Tamandua tetradactyla: one gene and its partner. The protein of the gene in region 1 purifies or fractionates together with the protein of each later gene. This does not show direct contact. Links are inferred from orthologs where the notes say so. Each region holds a gene or a part of one and is shown on either strand. Other genes may lie near its edges. The genes, in order: CABIN1 and UBN1.

What was found.
Region 2: the proteins of CABIN1 (region 1) and UBN1 purify together in Homo sapiens (affinity purification with western blotting; 6 studies listed by BioGRID, with this or other methods). This does not show direct contact. The link is inferred for Tamandua tetradactyla from reciprocal best matches to the Homo sapiens genes CABIN1 and UBN1.

The regions. Positions count from the first base shown.
Region 1 is NC_135331.1:25,629,737-25,641,276, forward strand, and holds the start of CABIN1 (calcineurin-binding protein cabin-1), read right to left. Parts: upstream 4,555-11,540; 5' UTR 4,484-4,554; intron 4,475-4,483; exon of another isoform or gene 4,097-4,474; intron 1-4,096. Other genes in the region: DDT (D-dopachrome decarboxylase), read right to left, coding at 8,383-8,455, 10,345-10,520, 10,744-10,851. UniProt on the Homo sapiens protein: May be required for replication-independent chromatin assembly. May serve as a negative regulator of T-cell receptor (TCR) signaling via inhibition of calcineurin. Inhibition of activated calcineurin is dependent on both PKC and calcium signals.
Region 2 is NC_135349.1:52,235,567-52,247,065, forward strand, and holds the start of UBN1 (ubinuclein-1), read right to left. Parts: upstream 4,732-11,499; 5' UTR 4,639-4,731; exon of another isoform or gene 4,608-4,638; intron 4,577-4,607; exon of another isoform or gene 4,273-4,576; intron 1,022-4,272; 5' UTR 985-1,021; coding exon 736-984; intron 1-735. Other genes in the region: GLYR1 (cytokine-like nuclear factor N-PAC), read left to right, coding at 5,663-5,700, 6,735-6,771, 7,766-7,845. UniProt on the Homo sapiens protein: Acts as a novel regulator of senescence. Involved in the formation of senescence-associated heterochromatin foci (SAHF), which represses expression of proliferation-promoting genes. Binds to proliferation-promoting genes.

The DNA of each region.
Region 1 (11,540 bases):
GCACTATTCACGATTGCCAAAAGATGGAGACAATTCAAATGCTCATCAACAGATGAGTGGATAAAGAAAATGTGGTATATACATATGATGGAATATTATGCAGCAGTAAGAAAATGAGGTCCTGAAGCACATGACAATATGGATGAACCTTGAGGACATAATGCTGAGGGAAGTAAGTCAGACACAAAAGGACAGATACTGTATGGTTTCACTATAATGACTCTGATAAAGGTAATCTCAGAGGTTACACCATAGAATATAGCAGACGTAGAGGTACAATAAAGCTAGAGATGGAGGAAAGGCTACCCAGAGGTCGAAATGAAATGCAAGGAAATCGATAGAAGTGACAGTAACTAATTAGAGGGTTTATAAGTAACATTGCCATATTGAAGGTGAACATGATTGAAAGGGGATGTATAGTGCCATGTATCCCACTGATTAAATCTACAATTATAAATAAGTTCTTGCAAGAACTACTTCACAGGTTTGATAGTGGACAAAGTCAATAGTAGAGGGATACAAGGCGGAAAACTAAAAATGCACGCTACGGCCTACAGTTAACAGGAAGACATCAACAGTACCACAGAATTACCAGGGGCAGCTAATTTTTACGGAGGAACAAGTGGTCTAGGCTCATTCTAGGATTTCTGGCCCACGTTGCCAGGAAGGTCTGCACCCCTGGGAGTCATGTCCCATGCAGACAGGGGAAGGGCGGTGAGTTTGCTTATTGTGTTGGCTGAAGAGAGAGGCCACATCTGAGCAACAAAAGAGGCTCTCTTGGGGGTGACTCTTAGGCCTAATTTCAACTAAAGCCCTGGATTTTGAGGCTTGCTGTTGCGAAAATTGTTTCTGTTGGGGAGAAGCTAAGACCACCCATAACGAGGCCTAACGGTTGCTTCCCAAAAGCCTCTTTGTTGCTCAGATGTGGCCTCTCTCTCTCTATGCCTAACTCTGCAAGGAAAATTGTTGCCTTCCTCCCTACGTGGTATACCAACATTCAGGGGTGACAAATCTCCCTGCCAACTGGGGTTTGACTCTTGGAGATAAATCTGGCCCTGGCACCATGGGATCAACGACGTCTTCCTGACCAAAATGGGGGAAAGGGGTATAGTAAAGCAGGGCATCAGTGGCCAAGAGAGATCAGGAGGGGTCAAGAGGCTGTTCTGGAAGCTGCTTTTATGCAAGCTTCAGTTAGATAGCAGTGATTGCCATGGTTTGCTAAACCCCAACCAACTTCACTCCTGTTGGCTCTTAAGAACACCTGGGACTCGAACTGAGACTCTATATAAAGGTTTCATGCACTAGGTTTGCCTTCCTGGGACATATAATTCCTGAGAGTTACTGGGTCAGATAAATCCTGCCTCTCCAAGATTATCAATTTATTTCATCCCTCTATCCTTTAGTGTCGACACCCCTTCTCAACATGAAAAATCAGAGCAGATATTCCCCAAAGATTCCTATAAATTGGGAGAAGGATTAAAGGAGAAGGAGAAGGTAGAGCAAGGAAAATGGGACTTGGCAAGCAAGTATGACTGCTGAATCACCATGTTGATGCTCCTTCTAGCCTCCAGTGTCTGGGAGCACTAGAGGGAAAGGTCTGAGATGGTGGAGTGGTGGCCCATGACAAACTCAGGGATCTGTTCTGAAACTACTAGTTGAAATGTGCTTTGAAAATTATTCCTCTTTTCTTTCTTTGCTTTGTTTGTTATATTACACACAAAAAAATTTTTTTTAAAGAATGGAAGCTCATTGAAAGGGCAGAGCAACTGAGTCACAAAATAAATGGTGTTAATATTGGATTTTAACTCACTTTATACACTTAATACCCATAGCCCCTAAAAACTCAAATAAACAGCAAATGCATAAATAATTGAGACAGAAGGGACAGCTCTTCTTACCATCAAATTTCAATGAATAAAAGCAGAAGGAACGAGGGAAATAGAGAATCACCATGAAGCAAACTTCACAGCAATAAATACACAACATTTATGTGTACATGAGATCCAAATGTTAAAGTTAGTGGGCTTAAGTTTGTGGAAAACCAGAATTTACTTCCTACCAAAGTATTTCCACTAAGGCAGAAATCCTGCAGACACCAACTTCAACAAGTAACTCCAGCAGTGAGACATGTTGCCATCATGAACCCCTTGAGATGAAACACCGAGAACAGAACATTGCATTTTGTGTTATTCTGTCCAAAAATGCACACCCTCATTCTACTCAAGAGAAAATATCAGACAAACCTAAGCCAAGGTAACGTTAGACAAAAACAACTATCAGTATTCTTTAAAAGCATCAAGGCCAAGAAAGAGAAGAAGAGACTGAGCACCCATTTCAGAGGACAGGAGATGAAACAGAAATAACAAAATACAACATGGGTTACTGGTTAAGATCCAGGAATAAAAAAAAGGAACACGAATGGGGAAACTGTTGAAATTTGAATTAGGGCTATCATTTTTAATAACAGTGTATCAGTGTTGGTTTCCTGTTCTTGACAACTGTACCCAGATGATGTAAGATGTTAGCATTATGGCAAGCAGGGTGAAGCACATAAAGGAACTCTTGTATTATTGTTGCAACTTCTCTTTAAGTCAAAAGTTAGTTGAAAATCAAAAGTTTTCAAATAAATAATCATTTGAGACTATTGACTGAGCATCTGTAAGAAATGTGAGGCCCGGACCATGTACACCAGGGACCCCAGAAATCCACTAAGAGGAGCTTACAAACCAAAAGCAAGTCCCTTTCCTCAACAGCCACTAACGTGCTCAGTTTCTCCAAGGAAACAGAGGCTGCATCGGGGTGAGGCCCTCACCTACAGGGACTGGCACCACGGGCTCCACCTCCAGGCCCACCGGCATCTACTCAGCCTTCCATCCTCTGCCACGACAAGGTCACCATCACAGAGGGGACGAAAGATAAATATTGGGTGCAAATGGCAAACCCTTCTGGCCCAGCTTGTTTGTAAAGGCCCTGACCAGGATCAGTATGGGGAGCCTCGTGTGCTACGTAGGAGCTAGTGAAGCTGCCCCAGCGGGGATTCTTGCCCACTCTCCCCAGCAAGCCCAGCCGAGGAGAAGAAAATGGAAGCAGAGAAAGAAGAATCGTTGTAGTCTGATGATGACATGGGCTTTGGTCTTTGGGACTAAACCCTTTGTGTCATGTGTTCAATAAAAAGTTGAACTCTTTAAAACTTAATTAATTAATAAGCAGCAGCTACCAAATGGAGAGGAGAAAGGAATTATCTGTTCGTTTCTTGGACTTCCAGTTCAGCAGCTGCATTTTCGCAGAGTAGCACATTCACAGGTTTAACCTAGCAGGTTCCCAATGGCCTTATAGAAGACATGATAAAGAACATTTCAGTTGGAGCACCTAACGCTGAGTGGTCTCCAACCCACATGGGGCACTGCCTGGCTGACTAGCTGACCTGGCATAAGATGCCCCTCTCTGGATGTGTTTCTTTTACCTTTTGAGGCTTTGGACCAGACCAGAGGTCTGCAAACTAACCCACCAGCTGTTCCTGTGCAGCCACCAGCACAGAATGGCTTTTACATTTCTAAATGGCAGACACGTGAATGACAGATGCAAATGATCTGACACTTTCATGCCCATAAATAAAATTGCACTGGGGCACAGCCACTCCTTTGGGTGGGTTATCTTTGGCTACTTCGAATGCTAGAATTGAGTAAACAGATTATGGCCTGCAAAGCCTAAAATATTTATTAGCTCGTCCTTTACAGCAAACTTTGCAGACCCCCGACCAGTGCAATTCTAAGGCCATTCCAGTCCTAACCCAGTTCTGGGTCCCAACAGAAGGAACCTTAGCTGCATGGAATTCGACCTTCCAGTTTCAGATGTAATATCATGAAGAGTTAAGTGGTTCCCCAAACTCAATGTGCCAACATCAGTGGGGCGTCAGGAATATGCTAGCCAGGGTATCCCCCACTCCATCCCCGGAAACCAGTGCAGCAAAACGGTCAAGATTTTCAGTCTGGAGTCAGGCTGGCCCATGGGTTGGCTAGGTGACCTTGGAAAGTCACTTCACCTCCCTCGGTCTCTGTTTCCAACCCTGGAAACGACATGAACAAACAGCACTCACCTCGGGGGGCTGCCGCAAAGTGAAGCGAAAGGATGCGGAGTAAAAGGTTAGCCTTTTGCAACCGCGGGACGCCGCCTCAATGGTGGGTCCTGCCGTCGTCCCTGGGACCCACTCCCGAGGCCGGAGGCCGGTCTAGGCACCCAGGGCGGCGGTGGAGAGCCAGAAAGAGGCCCCCGCGGCAGCCAGGAGGCCTGGACCCAAACTGGCTTCCCCGACTGCGGCACCGGGGCTGCCACAGGGACCCCACCCGCCCCACACACACACAGCGTCCCCACGGGTCTCGAGCCCATGCAGTCCACCCCTCCGGCTCGTGCTCCGGCCTCCTGGCCCCGCGGCGCCACGTTCCCAACCCGGGGCCACCCCCACAGCCGCAGTCCCGGGACTCACCCGGCGTCTCCACGGCAACGGCCCGATCGCCCGGACCCCCGCGCCGCCGGCCGCACGCCTGTCAACAAGGCTCGCTCCCATTGGCTCAGCGCCGGGCGCGCCAGCCAGTCAACGGGGTCGTACGCGGCGTGCGCCCGCCCGGCCGTGGAAGACGGGAACGCGCGCGTGTCCGCCCCCGGGCTGCCTTGTCGCTACAGTTGTAGAGTTCGGGGTCCGGGTTCCGAAAGGCTCCTGGGGCGCCGAGCTCAGTGTCCAGCCCGGGGCAGTCGGTGAATGATGGGGTGTATCGTCCTCACCACCTGGGGCAGGGGCTCCGGGGGCCGAGGGAATTGAGGGGCACGTCCGGGAGCCCCGGGGACGCGTTCACCCGTTCCGTGGCCCTTGCGAGTCCACGCGAGCAAGCAGATGACAGCGATGATTATAGTGGGGGTGATAGATTTAGGGTGGGGGTGGGGGGTAGTGAGACACCCGCTTAGGATAGGGAGCTGTAAAGAGGGATGAACACAAGGTTATATGCAAAAAAAAAAAAAAGAAAGAAAGAAAGAAAACCGGGTTGGATAATTAAAGGGAGAGCTGTGGGTTTGAGAGACAACTCCTTCACCTCTGGTGCCTTTCTATTGGTTTTGGGGTTGGACTTTAACATCCTTAGTGAATAGGTCACTTAGACGGGTTTATGTTGACTTGAAGATATGATATGCCCAACCAAGGCCTGTTGTACTTGGAGGGCCGGATGGGTGAAAATGGGTCACTTTGTTTGGAAGGTTTTATCTTTTCTTAAGATCCATAGCTCCTGTGGCTAGGGTGGCATTTGTGAAGGGGATGGTAACCGTGGTGAGTTGCTAGCTCAACTCCCAGCTCTGTTCCCACTGGTTGGGTCCCCAGTGTCAAGGATTGAGTATGGGTGATGGACTTCTTAAAATGGAGAATGCATGGGATTTAGAGACTTTACAGGGAGGGGGAATAAGTCTCTTAGACCAATCGTCTTTGATTTGAAGCCCCTAAGTCTTCCTAAGGCGCTTTTTTTTTTTTTTTTTTTTTTTTTGCCTGTCAGAGCAGAAATCCTTGCCTCTGAAAAATGCCTGACTTATCTCTGTGTTTTGAGGGTGTAGATAATAGAGCACATTATAGGGCACTTGATTTAGAATGTATTGTCTCAAAGCAGTGTTGGCATATTGTGCATTATTTTACAAAGGAAGAACCTGACAAAATTGGCTTAAGTCATACTTTTAGGAGCAGAAGAATCCCAACCAGTTACGCTCCCTTACACACTTCCAATTTATTACTCTTTCTAGTAGAGATAACCAACATCTTTAAAGGTCTATGGACAACTCTTGTTGCCTTTGAATTATGCCAATACCAAGAGGTTCTGTTTCAAGGAACAGATGAGGCCACTCTAGGATTAAGAGGCTTATTTCAGGAGTTCCTGGGAATTGATTTTTTGGGTTTTTTTTTCACAATGACTGCCTTTCTGTTAGTTTTGGCGGTGGACTTTAACATCTTTGGCAAATAGGTCACTCAGATGGGTTTATCTTAACTTGAAGATATACCCAACCAAGGCCTGTTGTACTTGGAGGGTGGGAGGGGTGAAAATGCAGATGGTCACTTTCTTTGGAAGGTTTTATCTTTTGACTTAAGGGCTATAACTTCTGGGCAGGGGTGTCACTTGTGAAGGGGATGATAACCCCAGTGTCAAAGAGCCTTTCCCCTTAGGTTGTGAATACTTCCTTGTTATGGGGTATTTCCCCAACTCCTTGCTGCATCCTTAACTTAGTCCAACCTGAATAACATGAACAAGGTGGTGGCTGCTTCTCTTCCTAAGTACTCCTCTTTAAGTACTACAACCTTCTACCTTCTACTACTACTACCTTAAGGTTATTGCTACTACCTTCAGTGTTTATTTCCTTTGAATTGAGCCTTTCTTAGATCATTTCCCAAAGTAAATGGTGCTCTGTGTCATAGATATTGTGCATTATTAAAGAAGGAAAAAAAAAAAGGCAGAGGAGGAACAGATAAGACTTGTTGTCTGGCCCTGATGAGGTGAGGGTTAAAATCCCATTTGGGGCATGGCAAACATTCATTCATGTTCAACCCACAGACATCCCCGGAGAGCTTCTGGGAAGCTGGAGACCCACAAAATGTGTTGGCAGAAGGAACGAATGCAGAAGCAATGTGGGCAGGGAGCCAAGTGAGGGGCACTCCAGGATCTGGCTTTTAATCGGTCAAGTACAGACACAGGCAAATTTCACTGGAAACTAAATGTATTAAACTATGTGAACCACTGTGGTAGTTTGGAGGCTATACATACCCCAGAAAAGGCCATGTTCTCTTCATCCATTCATGTGGGTACAGATCTGTTGTGGGTGGACCTTTTGATTAGGCTATTTTAGTTGCGGCCTACACCAGGGTGTGTCTTAATCCCCCTTCCTGGAGCCCTTTATGAGCAATGAAATTAAGAGAAACTCACAGAAAAAGCCCCAAAGAAGCTAAGGGAGGAAGCCACTGGAATCAGAAGCTGAAAGCAATAAAACTCGGAGGGAAGGACCAGCAGACGCCTGCCATGTGACAGGTGTCCCTGCGATTTGGCCCAACCGCTAAACTATCGGGGAACCTCTACTCCTCAGCTTCTCACTGCTTGCTAGACGACACTGCCGCACGTAGAAAAGGGGCTCGAGCCGGGGGGTCTGGGTCCAAGGTGCGCGCGCAGGAGACCTCGCTGCGGGTCTAAAGGACTGGAGGCCGAGCCAATTAAGGCATGAAGCGAGGTAGCTTTATTGTTGGTAGACGCTTATGCCAGGACCGCCAGTAGCTAAAGACCATGAGGCTCGGTGAGCCCTGGATTATATACAGTTTGAGGAGAGGCGGAGTTAGGGCATGGCCTCCAGGGGAGGGTAGCCAATCACACAGGGAGGACGGATGAGTGACTGTGACCATAGAGATGCTGTTCCTGAGTGTACCCGTAGCAGAGGATGTTGGGTAGGTGGAGGACTAAGGAGAAGACCAATAGGGTTAGAGAGACAAGGCTGCATCATCACTAGTCGCCGGTGAGGCCTGTAATTCAGAGGTCTAGAAGAACCGGACGTGCCAAAATGGCGAGGGAGGGAGAGAAAGAGACTAAGCTACCAGGCCAAGAATAAAATTATGCCACAGTCCCAAAGGTATCGTCCCGTTCTGCCTTATTTTGGACATTCTCACAGCCTAAGAACTGTAAATGTGTGAGCTAATACATCCCCATTGTAAAAGCATTTCCAGGTTTGGCATCCTGGGATATGGGTTTTACGAGGTGCACGGCTCCAGGGAAATCTCAGCCAAGAGTCAAGGAAGAAAGTGGCGCTCGGGAATGCTGAGGGAAAGGTTCCTGCAGCACACCCTTTCCAGCTCCCCTGTGGGCACAGCGTCCCGAGACCTACAGGAACTGCAGGAACTGCCCAGGCCACCCGAGGATGAGGACAGGAGCAACTGGTCAGCAGAGTTTGCAGGAAGGCCCAGGCTGGCCCAGCTGCCCGCCCCATCCCACCAGCCCTGCACGTGAGTGTGGGAAGATGGGGCTCCGGGCCAGACCTTGCCCCTAGGACTAGAGTAGCCCAAATGTATTAACACAGCAGCCCTGAAGACAGGAAACAGCCCACCTTTCAGTTTCTCCAAGGTCCCTTCCTCCTAAACCAACAGCAGCAAAAGGGTGGCCAGGGATACAGGGGAAGGTAGTAAAAGTTTTAAAACAGAAAAGCTTGAAAGATGACTCTTTCTTCATTTATTTGACACAGAGATGGGGAACTCTGTGAGGTAACAGGCACGCTATACAACAGGGCACCAGGAGCCAGTACCCCGAGGCCCACTCTGCCAGGAGGCCTCTCTGGAAGGGTTGACAGCTTCACAGAGGCCTTGAGTCCTGTCCGCGACAATCATAAGAAAGTCATGACCGTCCCCTTCTTGCCAATCTGCCAGGGATCCAGGGGGAAAAAGCGGATAATGATCCTTCAGATGGACAAAAAGAGATCATCAGCTCCCTGCTTAAGGCCTCATATTCCAAAATCCCTAGGCAGGCCAGTCCACAGTGGGCTCCCCAGCCAGCCCTCCTCAGCCCACCCCTGGAATGGCATTTTATCAGCCTTCCCTCACCCACCCACCCCCACCCCAGGAATGATCACTGACTCCCCACCCCCAAGGGGCCGTGGGCCTGGCAGGGCAAGTGGTTGCACGATGTCAGCATGGCCCACTTAGGGAAGAACCCAGCCTCCTGGTGAGTCCCATATGCCCTCTCTTCTGTTTCAGACTACAGGCAGCTGCAAAGACCCTGGGGGTGAGGGGGCACACACACCCTGCCTCAGCCACCCCTGTTTTCTCAAAGCCGAGCTCACACCAGACAGGGTAGCATGCCCACTAATGTTTTTGGAGTGAATGAATACTCCTCATTCACAGAGGTTAAGAGGAAGTTCCTGGGGAAGACCACCAGGGTTTGGGGTAGCCCAGCAGGAAAGAGGCGACTTGGCCTTGATATCTCCGTCTGTAAACTTGGCATGATGGAGGTCCCTATCTCATGGGGAAGGCCTGTGTGCCAGTTTGAATCTGTTGGGTACCCCAAAAAAGTCAGGTTCTTAAATCCTCATTTGATATTGTTGGATGAGATCTTTTTTATTAAGTTGTTTCCATGCCAATGTGGCCCACCCAACTGTGGGGGGTAACATGATTAGGTGGTTTCCATGGAGATGTGTCTCCACCCACTCAAGGTGGAGTTGCTTACTGGAGCCCTTTAAGAGGGAACCATTTTGGTAAAAGCTAGAGTGTTCACAGCCAGAGACCTTTGGAGATGAAGAAGGAAAACGCTCCTAGGGAAGCCTTATAAAATGAGGAATGAAAGCTATCAGAATTTGCATGTGCCTTTCCAGTTGATAGAGGAACTCTGAACATCATCTACCCTCTTAGGCCAAGGTACATTTCTCTGGATGCCTTAGTTTGGACATTTCTATTGCTTTGCCTTAATATGCATTTTCACAGCCTTAGAACTGTAAACTTGTAACCTAATAAAGTCCCTTTTTAAAAGCTCTTCCATTTCTGGTGCATCGCATTCCACCATCTTTTACAAACAGCCTGTAAGTATCAGATGAGATGACGCACATGAAGAACCTGAACCTGGAAAGCACTAGCTTGTTATGTACTGGGGTTAGAATTATTTTCTCCCTCCAGCCTGAGGGTATCTGAGCAACCACCAGCAGCAGCCACCAAAGGCTCTGCTCTGGACAGCACTTTCAAGCTTCTCACAGCCCTAGTTCCCCATAGGCACCATCTCCGCCCCAGGAGTATTTTTCATCCAGGAGGAAATTTTAACCCTGCCCCAGAATTCCTGATCTGGGACTTGTAGGGGTCTTTTAAGGATTCATCTAATCTACCCCCTGCCCCTCTATTCACAGATGAGGAAGCTGCAAACTGGAGATGGGCCCTGTCGGGATATGCTTGGGGTCCCCCAACTGAGCTGGCCCAGGACACCCAGGCCAGTGCTCTTTACACCACTCTGTGACCCTTCCCTGAGCCTCCACCTAGAACCTAATTGGGCAACAGGCCCAAAGGTCACAGCTCAAGACATACCCAGAATCCCGCCCCCATCACTAGTCTGGGGGAAAAAAGAAAATCTAGATTTTCTAAGATTTGGAGAGGCCTGAAGGCAGATGATTGCTTACTTTAGAGGAACATTCTGCCAAGGTGCAAAGATCAGTCCCATGTGACCCTAAAAGCCCCTGGAGAGTGGTCTGAGGGGCAGGTTGAGAAGCCCCAGGCACAGGTGACCCTGGGCAGATCAAGGCAGGCATTTAACCCCCGACTTTACGAGGGGCTCGGGGGCCAGTCCCTGCCGCCCCGCGCCTACGCACCGCTCCTGGTCCAGGGCCAGCTCCTTGGTGAGGCACTCGAAGAGCCGGGCGCTGTGGCCGCGGTTTTCCTCGGCCGTGCCCACCACGCCGATGGAGGAGACGAGCAGCTGCGCGCAGGGCTCCGTGGAACCGTTCACGGCCATGGCCAGGCCCGGCCGCACCGTCACGTTCACGCGCTGCGGGGACACGGGAGCTGCCCCTGAAGCTGGGGCCGGGGATCGGGGGGCAGGGGCAGGGGCGGGGATCCCAGGCCGGGTCCCTGGAAGTCAGGTCGGAGTCACGGCTAGGGAGGGCCACCCAGGGCGGATGTGGGGCAAGGGGCAGGGGGAGCGATAGGCGGGGTGGGGGCTCCCCGAGATGCGGACCGTGGGCCCCCCAACCTCCCCGCCCCCCGCTCACTTCCTCGGGTTTGCCCAGGATGGCGGCGGCGGCAGCGCAGAGCCGCTTCTCCAGCCCCGCGGGCACGAGGTTAGCGGGCAGGTTCGTGTCCAGCTCCAGGAACGGCATGTCGGGCAAAATAACGCGGAGTCTCGCCCGGTCGCGTCCCACGTGCGGAGCAGGGAGCAGGGGCGGGGCGCCAGGAAGCCCAGCTACTCATTGGCTGAGCGAGGACGCAGTGCCCGCTCCGATTGGCTACTCGGCCACACCCCCTGGTCTCTTACAGATAACCGTCACAGGCGCAGGCGCCGACTTCCGGATTACTGTAACCACGCCCGTTACGTTTAGCCCCACCCCCGAACCTGGCCCCGCCCACCACGACCCGGCCCCGCCGGCAGTAGGTTTTCCTTCTCCACCTGCGTTCTGGCGCTGCTGTCCTCTGGTCCTACCCTGTATTTGGATAGAGGTCTGAATCACACTAAAACACACACACACACACACACACACACACCTTCACCGAGTTCCACCCTGATAACCGCGGTCGCTAAGGCTAAAGGAGAATTTTCATGAATTGCCTCCATTTCAAAGTCAGGCAACTGCGCGTTAAATGTGGGAATCTGGGCTTTGGAGGGCTGCTGGGGACACTGCTGGCTCTCTGCATCCCTGCCTGGCCCCTCTGCCATCTGCATTTGGGCCGCTGGCAGCTTGCCTCTTAGTGAGTCCCCTTGCGACAAGGATGGGAGAGAGCCAGGCCCCAGCCAGAGTGCCAGCGATGTTTACCCTCTCCTGTGTTTCTGCAGCCAGATATAGTGTTACTT
Region 2 (11,499 bases), on another chromosome or scaffold:
TTAAAAAAATGTTACTGATTTGCCAAAATATTAACAGTCGAAGTGGGGTGATGGGTATGCGGGGGCTTATTATACTTATTCTCTTTACTTTTGTGCATGTTTGAAAACGTCCATACTAAAAAGTAAAACAAATCTGTCAAGAAAACAAATGGAACATTTAAAAACTCTTAGGAAATCAACTTGATTTTTAAAAACAAAACAAATAAACCCTAAAGGCTACAACCCAATTCTGGCAAAAGAAAACAAAAAGTAAAAATTTCAAAAAGCCAAAAAATAGGTTTCTGTCCATCCAGGCAAAGAAACTATCAAGTACTACTGTGTTTAGAAGAGATGAACAGTTTGTCTTTTCTGGTTTGGCAAGAAAGGCAGAGTAAGAATCCCTCAGAAAAGAAAAACACCAGCATGGATCAGGCTCCTTCACTGGAACAGTCAGGGACTGGTCCCACTTACGTATAATACTTACAGACTTGGCATGAAAAATTTGTGGTTCCTTTTATTTACATTAATTAGCCATAATTCCAATTAGCCATGGATGTGCCACACCTTTTTCACTAACATAAATTCTATCCCTTCACGCCTAGAGGCAAAATCATCAAGCCTGGTTCTTGTGCCCTGGGATGGGTAACTTGACCTTGGGACAGTCAAAGACTCTCCAGTCTTGCTTCCACCCTAAGGGACCCGCATTTGCACACAGTGACACCCATGCCTCAGATCTGCAGTGACGCTGAGGTGTACCTTGTCTCCAGGTTGAAGGCCTTTCACTTTCCCTCGTATATTTTTCACTAGTTCTGGGTAGAAGAACTCTGGGCAACGCTTGTGATCTGGTTCAAAGAGGGTGAGTGTGATCCGAACGGCTGCTGCGGCCGGCTCAGAGTCCTGATGCTGTTCTGCTCCCCCAGCCTCTTCTTTCCGGGATTTCTTCAAAAATGCTGGACTCAGAGAACCTGGGAGAGATGTGAACTGGACTCTGTGGGGCTCCGACATGGCTACCAACAAGTCGGTGGTTGTCACTGCATGGCTTCTGTTAACATTGGAAAAAAGGGCTGGGTCAAATCAAGATGAAAAAAAATAATGACTTCTCTGCTCAATTACAAGTTTTAAAAAATTTCATTACGGGGAAGAATCCCTTGTTAAAATTCAACTGCCATTAACTGTACTTCTCTGTTTAATATTCTTTCTAAATATATTTTTTTCATATGTAACATATGAAAACCCAAATCTTATCAGAGATAATCAGTGTTTCACATACTTCCTTTCCAGTCTTTTTCTACAAATATATAGCCGATCCTTGACATTAGAGAACCCATGATGACAAATCCTTAAGAATTCCCAAAATTGCAACTACTACTACAAAATACTGCTTTCTTCTTAACTTATCCAACACTTTTCTTCCCCCCAACAGAGAACAGCCACTTTAAGAGCTCTTTATGTTCATCACCAGTAGTTTACTTTCATTTGGGGCCAATGCTCACAATGAAAGTTTTCATCACATCATGGAAGTTATTACCTAGCCTGGAATAAGCAAAAAATCAGCATCTCAGTGATGTATGTATGGCTAAACTTATTTTTCTAACAAAGTCACTGGCACTTGACCACCAGCCCTCTCCCCATTCAAACGTGGGCCTTAACAAAGTGACAAATGATCACATGCCAAAGAACTACACAATTGTGTGGGAACGTCCAACATAGATTTGGAATCTAAGAATTCCAAGGGTTTAGAGAACATAAATATGCAAACATACATTATGTACTTTTTTGTGCTACAGGAATAATTGTATCCTATTTTTACAAACTTACACCCTAATGTGAACTTTTATTTCAATAAAGTTATTCATTGTAACCTTGTTTACATAGGGGAAAATGGTGGAAACAACCCACATGTCCAGTGATAAAGGAACAGTTGAATAAATTGTAGATTTTAAATTGATTTGTGAGGCTCCTTGATATATTACAGATAAATATCCCTTTGCCTCATCACATAAATCATTATTATAAATCATTTAATCTCTCACAAGTACTCTTCCTGGCTTATTCCCTATTTAAATTTTACTTAGAATGAGGCAAGCTGAAAACTTTCTATGCCCTCAAAATTTTTTTTCCCTTGTGACTTCTCCTGTTTCTTCCATGCTTAAAATGTACTTCTCCAACCAGATCTCACATAAGAATTTATCTACACAGTCTTTTATATACTTTTCACATTTAACTATTTAACCCAAGTGGAATATATTATGCTATAAGCTATGGCGTGAGGTCCTAACTTGATTCTTCCCAGTATCAATCACTAAATAATCCCTCTTATCCCTGCCAATTTGGCATACATCATCTAGTAAAATCCCATGTTTCTTATGGTCTATTACTGAAATCCATCCTGCTGTATGAATGTAGTAGTTAAGATTTTTTTTAACTAATACCATACTGTTTTGAAGTTATACGGAATATTTTAAAATCTTGAACTGAAAGCTCTTATCACTCTTTAAAAATACCACTACCACTCCAGCCTACTTATTATTTCAGAACTTTAGAAACATTTTGTTGAGTTCTCCCAAAGGGGCTGTCAGTTTTTATTGTAACTGAATCATAAGTGAGAGTTGTCAAGAAGATGCTATTTCTCATATATATCTCTTATAAATCCATATATGTATATGCATTTGTATATATCCAATACTTATTTTCCATTATGACACAAAACCTGGGACATACTGATTCACAAGGTTGTCAAATTACATCTCAGTTGAAAGGAAAAGTTTAAAGGTCCCTTCTAATAGAGCAGACAAATACTCTAAGAAGAGAATCAAGTTAATCAATGGGATGCAAGAAGGTCATTCCGGGAGTGGCAACCAGGCAAATGCTAGTGTCCCTGTCCAGTAAGAGATTTTAAAATGTAGCCTTATCTTGGTCTGTTTTACACATCGTAACTTCAACCCACCTAAACTTCAACCACTTCTTCGTTGAAGCCTGAGAAGCCAATGGTATAGAAACAGAATTAGAGGATAAAGCAAATCAAAGATATAGCAGATTAAGACTCATGGGTTAGATTTTGGGTGAAGTTTTGTAATCATCATACTGTATTATTGTTTTTTATTAGGCCATCTGAAACATTCAAGAGAACTGGACATTAATGAGTGTTGTGAGATTTACAATTTTAATTTGAGATGCTTAAGAAAATATAATTAAGTGTGAAAGTGTTTGCACTTTTTTTTTTGAGTGGGCAGGCACCGGGAATCAGGTCTCCTCCAGCATGCCAGGCAAAAATTCTGCCACTATACCACCATTGCCTGCCCTGTACTTTCTTTCAAAAAGAACCAGATTTCCATTTATAAGTTTATTAGACTTAATGACAATTGCTTAAGTCCTCAGAAACATTTATGTTAGGTTTCTAAGTTTACTTTTTTAGACGTCTGAAGTATCTACAAGAATCAAGCATCTAAAATTTTAATTACAGAGTAATATGCTAAAGAAAATTGAACTTTGTAAAAAGAGTTATTTAGGGAAATTTGATATGTTAAACTGGTTTCTTACTTGAACTTTTGTCAAAGATCAAGTATTTTTATTTAAAAAGTCCTGTTATTTATAAATAATACAAAATGAGTAAAATTCTATCTGCAAAATCATCCCTCTTAAAAAACCTCAACTGAAATTAAACAAGAATGGCACTTTCATCTATTTCCTCACGCCTCCTTTTGTATCTCAGATTATTCCCAGGAGCTTTTCGTTGTTGTCATTGTAAACAGAACCCATTAACCAGAAAACTGAACTTTGTCGATTTTGCAGTTAGTTTTTCTTAACTCTAATTTTACTGGTTTTCCTCGACTATTCATTTCTTCAAAATATGCAATTCTATCATCCCGGGAAATGAGTAGTTTGTCTTCCCCTTCCTGAAAAATTATATTTCTTATTTTTTGTTTCATGCCTTATTGCATTGGCTAAAACTTCCAGGCTAACATAAGACAAATATTCTTAGCCATGATTATAACCTTAATGGCAATGCTTCTAGAGCCTGCATGACAGTAATTTAAAAGGCATCTATCTCTTTTATCAAGTTATTAAATATCCTTCAATTCTTCAAATTATAAGACTTTGTAAATTACGAATGCGTTTAATTTTATCAGACTGTTTCCTGGAATCCTAAATACGCTTTAAATAACCAGTTTACCTTTAAAACAAAACAATAAATGACACTTCCTGAAACTGGCTCACGGTACTTCAGAGAAACTGATCTAAGAAACCCGGCGTTGAGGCCAACTCAGCAAGCTAAAATAAAAACCCACTTACCAAGTCTGGATATGACAAAACACATACGCGAAATGCGCGCGTGGACCTCGCACCTTTTCCAGGAAATCGCTAACTCCGGAAAACTCCGGTTCTAAATCAAGCGCTAAAATCACTCCTCGGAGTCTGAAACCGGGACTGGGAGCTTTTCGAAAATTCTATTTGTTTCTACCAGGTACCCTGGAGTTTGGGCAGGCGCTGTGCCGAACTGCCACTGAGAGTCTCCCTTTAACGGTTTAACTTTCATGCGTCGACACCACGCTTGGCATCTGACTCCCTGTGGGCACAACCGCCTGATCCCAACTTCTTCCAAAGTGTCAAACTACAACGAGGCTTACGTGAGCGTCCGGTCCGTACACGGACACGCACCTTCGTCCCCCGCGCCGGCGCAGGCTACGGCCCCGCGGGCCGCACGCGTCCCCCCGCGGCTGTCCTCATGCCGGCCAGGGGCCCCAAGCGGCGGCGCGGCTAGCGGCCGGCTTCCGAGGCATGGCTCCCGGCGGGCGGCCGGCCGGCGCTGCGGCCCATGACCGGGTCCACGCGCGCCCGGGACAGCCGCGTCGGCCGTGCCGCGAGCCGGCCAAGAAGAAAGCGCAGAAGTGCCGCCTCGAGGTCCGCGGAGCAACTCGGGGGGCGGCGGAGCAGGCTGCCAGCGGGCGCCCCGGGAGAACTTGCTGCGCCGGACCCGCACCCGAACCGCTGGCCGCGCGAAAGTCGGCCGCGAGAGCGCGCCAAGGCACCCGGACGGCGGCGGGACGGACCCCCTCGCCCGCAAACAAGCGCGGCGTTCGGAGCCCCCGGGAGCTCGGGGCGCGGAGACGAGGGGGGACCCGGGCTGAGGCCAAGCAGAGCCCACCGGTCGCGGGACCCTTGGCTCCGGTTTCCAGGCCGCGCCGAGGTCCGTCAGGGGAGCTCCCGGGTGCAGCGACGAGGCCGGCCGGCGCCTCAGGCTCGGGAATGGCCCCGGGGCCCGCGCGGAACTAACGGCCGAAACGGAAGCGCCGAAGGGGGGAGGGGGCTGGAGTCCAGGGCCCCGGGAGGCGGGGCGGGCCTCAAGGCCGGCTCCCTCACGCGCTCGGCCAGCCGCACGTCGTCGCTTCCGCCGCTGCCTCAGACCGCGGGCGCTTCGTTGTCACGAGCCGAGGAGGTGGGGCGGGGGGGAAGGCGGGGAAGGAGCCGGGAGTCTAGGGTCTTCGGCTAGCGGAGACCGCGGCGCCCGAATCACGTGCCGCTCGACCGGCTAATGAGAGATAGAGGGCGCAGTGACGTCAGAGCAGCGGCGTGGCCGATGACAGCCGGCCCTCATCACGTGGTCCTCCTCACTCCAATGGGCGGTGTCGAGGCGACCTGATGTTCCCGGCGGCCTGTGCGGCGGTGGTGGTTGGGTGGTAAGATGGCGGCTGTGAGTCTGCGGCTCGGCGACTTGGTATGGTGAGTCCGGGCGGCCGGGGGCAAGCGAGGTGCTGGGGTGCTGCTCTCTGGGTACGGGGTTCACAGTCAGCCCCGGAGCTGCCCTTCTCTGCGCTTTAGGCGGCGAAGAGAGGGGAAAACTAAGTGCCAGCGCTGGGAGCGACGCCGGGCGGAAGGGGCAGTTCGGCCCCGGGGGACTGAGGCCGAGGGTAGCCGCGGTGAGCTCGACTCTGAGCCCCGAAGCCGCCCGAGGGAGGCCTGTGCACAGGTCCCAGACTTAGGCGGCCACGGTACAGGGAGCATTCGGCCGCCACACGGCTCCCACGGCTGGGGTCTTGGTGGGGCTCCCCGAAAAGCAGGACAGCTGGGGAGCCCGTGAGGCCAGTTTACCGGGCAGGCGGATCAAAACCTCCGCGTTGCGATGGATCCGACTTGTGCTGGCGGTTCGACCCGGGATGTCGAAACCGGACCACTGGCGCTGCTCGGTGAAGAAATGGAGGGGTACTTCTCCTTTACAAGCGAAGGCTTGGCAGTGAACAGTGAATGCCTTCTTGGGTATCTTTCGTGGTCTGCGTCTGTGTCCCAGACAACCGCTCGAACTAAGACTGACTGTCGCCGCCTCCCTGGAGCTGCGTAGCTCGTTTCTCGATTCCCCGGAAGAATTTCGTTAGCATTTGTCAAAGCCGGCTTGGTCTCGTGGTGAATTAAACCAGATTTTGGAAGGGGAAGTCTGTGTTTACGGAAGAAACTGCCCTCCATCCGCGAGTGTCCAGGAGACTGGACAAGTCTCATGGTTTTTCTCTGTTCCTTGTCATCAGAGGAATGCACCTAGCTCTTCGTGCACATATGTATATAATTTTGTATCTATTTCTGAGGGTTTGGGGCCATCTCAGGCCCATTGTGGAAGTCAAATTAAGAACTCCAGTTTGCCAGCTTTTTTCTGGCTCTTGAGAGTGCCGGCCGAGATTTAGAAAAGTAAATTGCAGGTTGCGTGGGCTGAAGGAGATGGACTGGCTTTCCCAAGGCAAGTGCCTGACTCTTTGTGTTTTCTCTAGGGGGAAACTCGGCAGGTATCCTCCTTGGCCAGGAAAGGTGAGTGTCTTTTGCTTCTAAAGGAAGATATCTGAAGTTGTGTTTGGGTATGTGGGGAATGTAAAATCCATTCCTCCTGGTTTCTAGCATTAATTTGAGTAAAACTCGGCCCATTTAAATAACATTTATTCTGAATTTTTAACGTTTGTTCACAATTTTTTTTCTGAGCTGTCAGTTCATTTAGAAAAGAAAATATAAGCCATGTCATTTAATCTGCAGCACTTATTTCTTGATTCATAGCTGATTTGTGTTGGTCTTTTTTGTTTTAACTCTGAAAACCAATTCTAATTGGAATTTACCTTTTTACTTAAATTTAATCACAAACAGCAATTATCCAGGAAGAGAGAAATCTAAATGTAGGTTAGTTAAAAAGTCAAAGTATTTTTGTGCTAACGAAGTTTAAGTCTTCTTTTCATTTTACCATGTGTGCTTGCTCCCATGCATCTTTGCAAAAGTTGACATTCTAGCTTCTGCACACACAAGTCAGTCCATCATAGCTCTCCAACGTTCTGTCTTTACTTTCTTGTTAGCAGTCCAGTAAATATCTTTGGACTGTCTCTTTGGAATGTGGCATTTTCAGTGCCTCTTATCCTTTGTTTTCACTGTTACCTGCCTCATGAACTCCACCTGCACAAGAAGTATTTTTAAGAGTGTCCTCAGCATTACTTCATTGATGAGACAGGATCACTTTGGGGAGGAAAAGATGTGGATTTTAGTTTGAGCTGTTTTTAAAATGGAGCCATGGCAGTGAAACGGGATATGGGGTCTGCTGAATTCAGTGCCATATGTTAGGTAGAGGACACCTGCAGAATATTTGCACATTTCCACACATCTCAATAGAAAAGTGCCAGATTTGGATATGTATTAGGCCCTAGGGTTCCTTTTTTAAATACATATTCCTCATTTATTTATTTTTTCTTACCAGTTTAGAGCTGTGGAAAATTACTTTGTAGTGAACTATATTGCCATCAAACCTCTTCTTTTTATTGCCCAGATTGTTAATCCACCCAAGGACTTGAAGAAACCACGTGGAAAGAAATGCTTCTTTGTGAAGTTTTTTGGAACAGAAGATCAGTGAGTAATGTTCATCACGAGTTTCACTTTGCCTTTGTTTGGATGTTACCCTGGGCCTGAGCTGCTCTGAGAACATTCTAGGATCTTGGTTCAGTTTTATCCTGTAGTTTGTAAGAGTAGCATATCATCCTGGCTTCATACCTAAACGAAAGGTGCTGTTCTTACTGCATAGAAATTGTCGTGGGCACCTATCCTGGTGCTGATGACTATTTCAATCAGGTAAGAACCTTCTAAATAAACTAGTCCATTCAGTTAGCTTGTCACATCTGTCTGTCTACATCCACGGGCACTTCCTTTTATAAGAGCCATGTTTGGTTCTCTTTTAATGGCTGCATACCATTGTAGTTCATGCATCACACATACAGTGAAAACTGAAATGTTTTTTATCTTAATAAAAGTAATTTTAATTTTAAGTCTTGTTCTCTTCTGTAAAACTAGGTCATTTGCCCTGACAGTGTAACAGTAAAGCTTTTTTTTTCGCATGCGCAGGCACTGGGAATCAAACCCAGGTCTTCAGCAAGGCAGGCAAGAACTCTGCCTGCTGAGCCACCGTGGCCTGCCCTAGTAAAGCTCTTTAACCAGATATGTCCTAGAGTTGAGAAAACTAGGGCCATTAATTTGAGATTGAAATCCTTTTACCTCACTCTCCAGGGCCATATAAGAAGCCACAATGAGGGAAAGAGTATATATTACATGAGTTTTCTGTGATTTGTTTAGCTTTCTCTTCACTACATCCAGGTGATTAACTGGATTTAGTAAATGGTTTGCACTCTAGGTAGTTATGTTTCTTTTTATGATTCTTGAAGGAAAATGTGGTTTTAGGTTTGGAAAATGTCTAATTTTTCCAATAAATCTGATGTTGGAGTGTTAAAATATACACTCCTAGAAAGCAATATAGTAAATGTGAAAACCCCTTATAAGTAATGTTCTTGGCTCATTCAGGATTTGTTTATCAGAGTATTTTTTTGACTTAGTATTTGTGTGTTTCCATTTGTGTGTGTCTCCCTCAACCACACAAATATATCGACATACCCAGCACTCAGTTCTCTCACAAACCAACTTAACTGATCTGTGGTGGGGATACTTCAAGGGAGTCACTGGTCAGAGACCCTTTAGAAGAGATAAAGCCACGAATTCCATAAGAAAGACCATCCTATGCACAAAACAAGTGTTCATTGTTAATCCTTACACTGCATTGCTCCATTCTAAAGGGAGTTCCCAGGAAAGCAAGCTTTGTGGTCCCAGCCTTCCAGGAGCTCCTTAGGTAGTAAAGACATAAACATTCAGGTAGGATTATGTGTAGATGAGTGCAGAGGTAATTACGAAAGGATTCTAGAAGAGGAAGAGATCAGTGGAGACAGTGAAGTCAAAGAAGGCCTGAAGGAAGAGATGGGATTTGAATCAAGCTCTGAAGAATGGATAGAATTTAGATGGACAGGTATGATAAAAGCATTCCAGGCAGTGGGGATACCATGAACAAGGCTGCATTCAGCCATTGTCAGCAGGGAGAGGCTCCCTGCTTGGAGTGAAAAATTTGTGCTTGGGAATAACAGAAGCAATATGGGTTGGCCCAAACTCAGTTAACTAAATGAAGAATTATTCAAGTCTAAAACAAAAATGGAAATGCACAGAAAGTGGGAGTTAATCAACTTATAGGGAACCTAAAAGCCATTATTTTCGTGATGGTTAAAAAAAATGCAGGAAGGCTAGAAAAATGAACTGTGGCCCCTGTGTTAACAAAATGCTAGCATTAGGTCATAGGAGATTGGAATTGAGTGAAGTTCAGCACTTACCAGGTTCATGGAACGTGAATATAACCTGGAGGTGTCAGCAGTGGGGACGAGGCAGTGATGTGATTTCTACCGAGGAAGTTCTCTGAGTTTTCTTAAGCAGGTGGATACAGAGTGACTACTAGGTAAGTCTGTAAGCCTTTTACACTCCCTTGCTAGAGGTCCCCTTAAAAAGCTGTTTAAAATTAAATCACCACAGAGCTAACATACTACCTTTTGTGAATAGGCAGTTAACTTAGAGAAAGGAAACAAAGGCTCACTTAAGGGAGATGGGTTCCTTAGTGATCAGTTTTAAAGCGAATTTTATTTAGTATCTTTATGCTTTCTGTAATTGGACAAGTGGCATGGAATTGCTTTGGGGCAGGGGCTCTGGATTTGTTTCTAGCCTGATGTGCCTTTGTTCTCCTGTACTGTGGGAATAGTACCTCTTCCTCGTAGTAGTGAAGAAATAGGATCACTTAAGTATAGTGTGGTTTGGTGCATAGCAGATGCTTAACAAATATCGGGTGAAAGTGTATATCTGTTACCAAATGGGAGAAAGGTGTTGAATTTTAACAGAAGCAGAAGCTTTTAAGGAAAAGTGAGAGACTGTGCCCGTGAGGGTATGTGTTTATGTATGGGTGTGTGTATGTGTATTGGAAAAGAGAGGAATCTGAGAATTGGAGATTCTAAGGAGTAAGGCTTTGAACACAAAACAGTATATTATTCCACCTTTAAGTTAAACCGTGATGTGCTTCTCCAGGAATACTACATGCGGTTTGTTTCATGCTTCCAAAAGGATCTGAGAGATCTAGTCAAGATCCAGAGAATGGAACCGAGTCAGACAAAAGAGTAGGGTTCTTTCAGGTGCAAAAGCAGGTGGCAACTGGAAAACAAGTTTAACTGGAATTCACAAAGTCATGAGTGGCCTTAAGGAGGTAAAAACTGACTTGCTCATAAACCCTCAGACATTTCAGTGAGGGGCACCTTGAGTAGAATAGAAGAATGTGCAGGACAAGTGCAGGGAATATGATAGAAAGCAGACATTTAAGAGCTGGTACAGCCAGGAAATACAAGAGAATTTTTTAAGAATGAGAACTGATTTGTGACAGGTAATGCCATAGTGATTACAGAAGAAGCTAGACTCGAAAAGCACGCGCTCCTGGCATGTCCTAGGGTGGGAAACTCTGAGCTGAGTGGATAAGGTCTGAGAGGTTCAGCTTGGCTGTTCCTGTGTTCTTAAGACAATTTCATCAGGAATGTTCAATTTCAGAACCTACATACTACTTACAGGAAAAAAAATAATTTTTTTCTATCAAGAAGACCCTTTATTAAAGAGTGAAAAGGATAGCTATTAAGACAGGATATATGATGATTTCAGTCTTACAGAAAACTTCTCTCCCCATCTCTACCAAAATGTAACACATTGTGATGGTGTTGAATCCCACTGTTAGGATCAGACTTTTCCAAGGAGGTGGGGAGGCCTGGGTAGGGGATGGATAGACTTAGTTGTATTCTGCTCTCAGAGCCCTGGCAGCCAAGCAGGAAGAGTAACTTCAGCTTAATTTTGCCAGCTCCACCAGGTGACCACATCCAAAGATTAATTTTGTTAATTTGTTTGTTACCCAGGGGTCTGTCTACTTTGAGGGCGGTCACCTATTTAGTAGAAACTGCGCTTAGAGTTCAAAAGCTTCATTCGTGGCTATGGATGGCAAGATGGAGGGAGTGTTTATTAGCTTTCAGGTGCTGGGCAAACGAGGGGTTGATCCCAAATGACTGCCTGAGAGCTCTCTTGACAGCCCGTAGGAAATGGTTAACTTCGTTGGTCTGGACCTCCTTTTCTAACAGAGACACTGAGAGGAAGGCGATTTCAGGATTTAAGTAC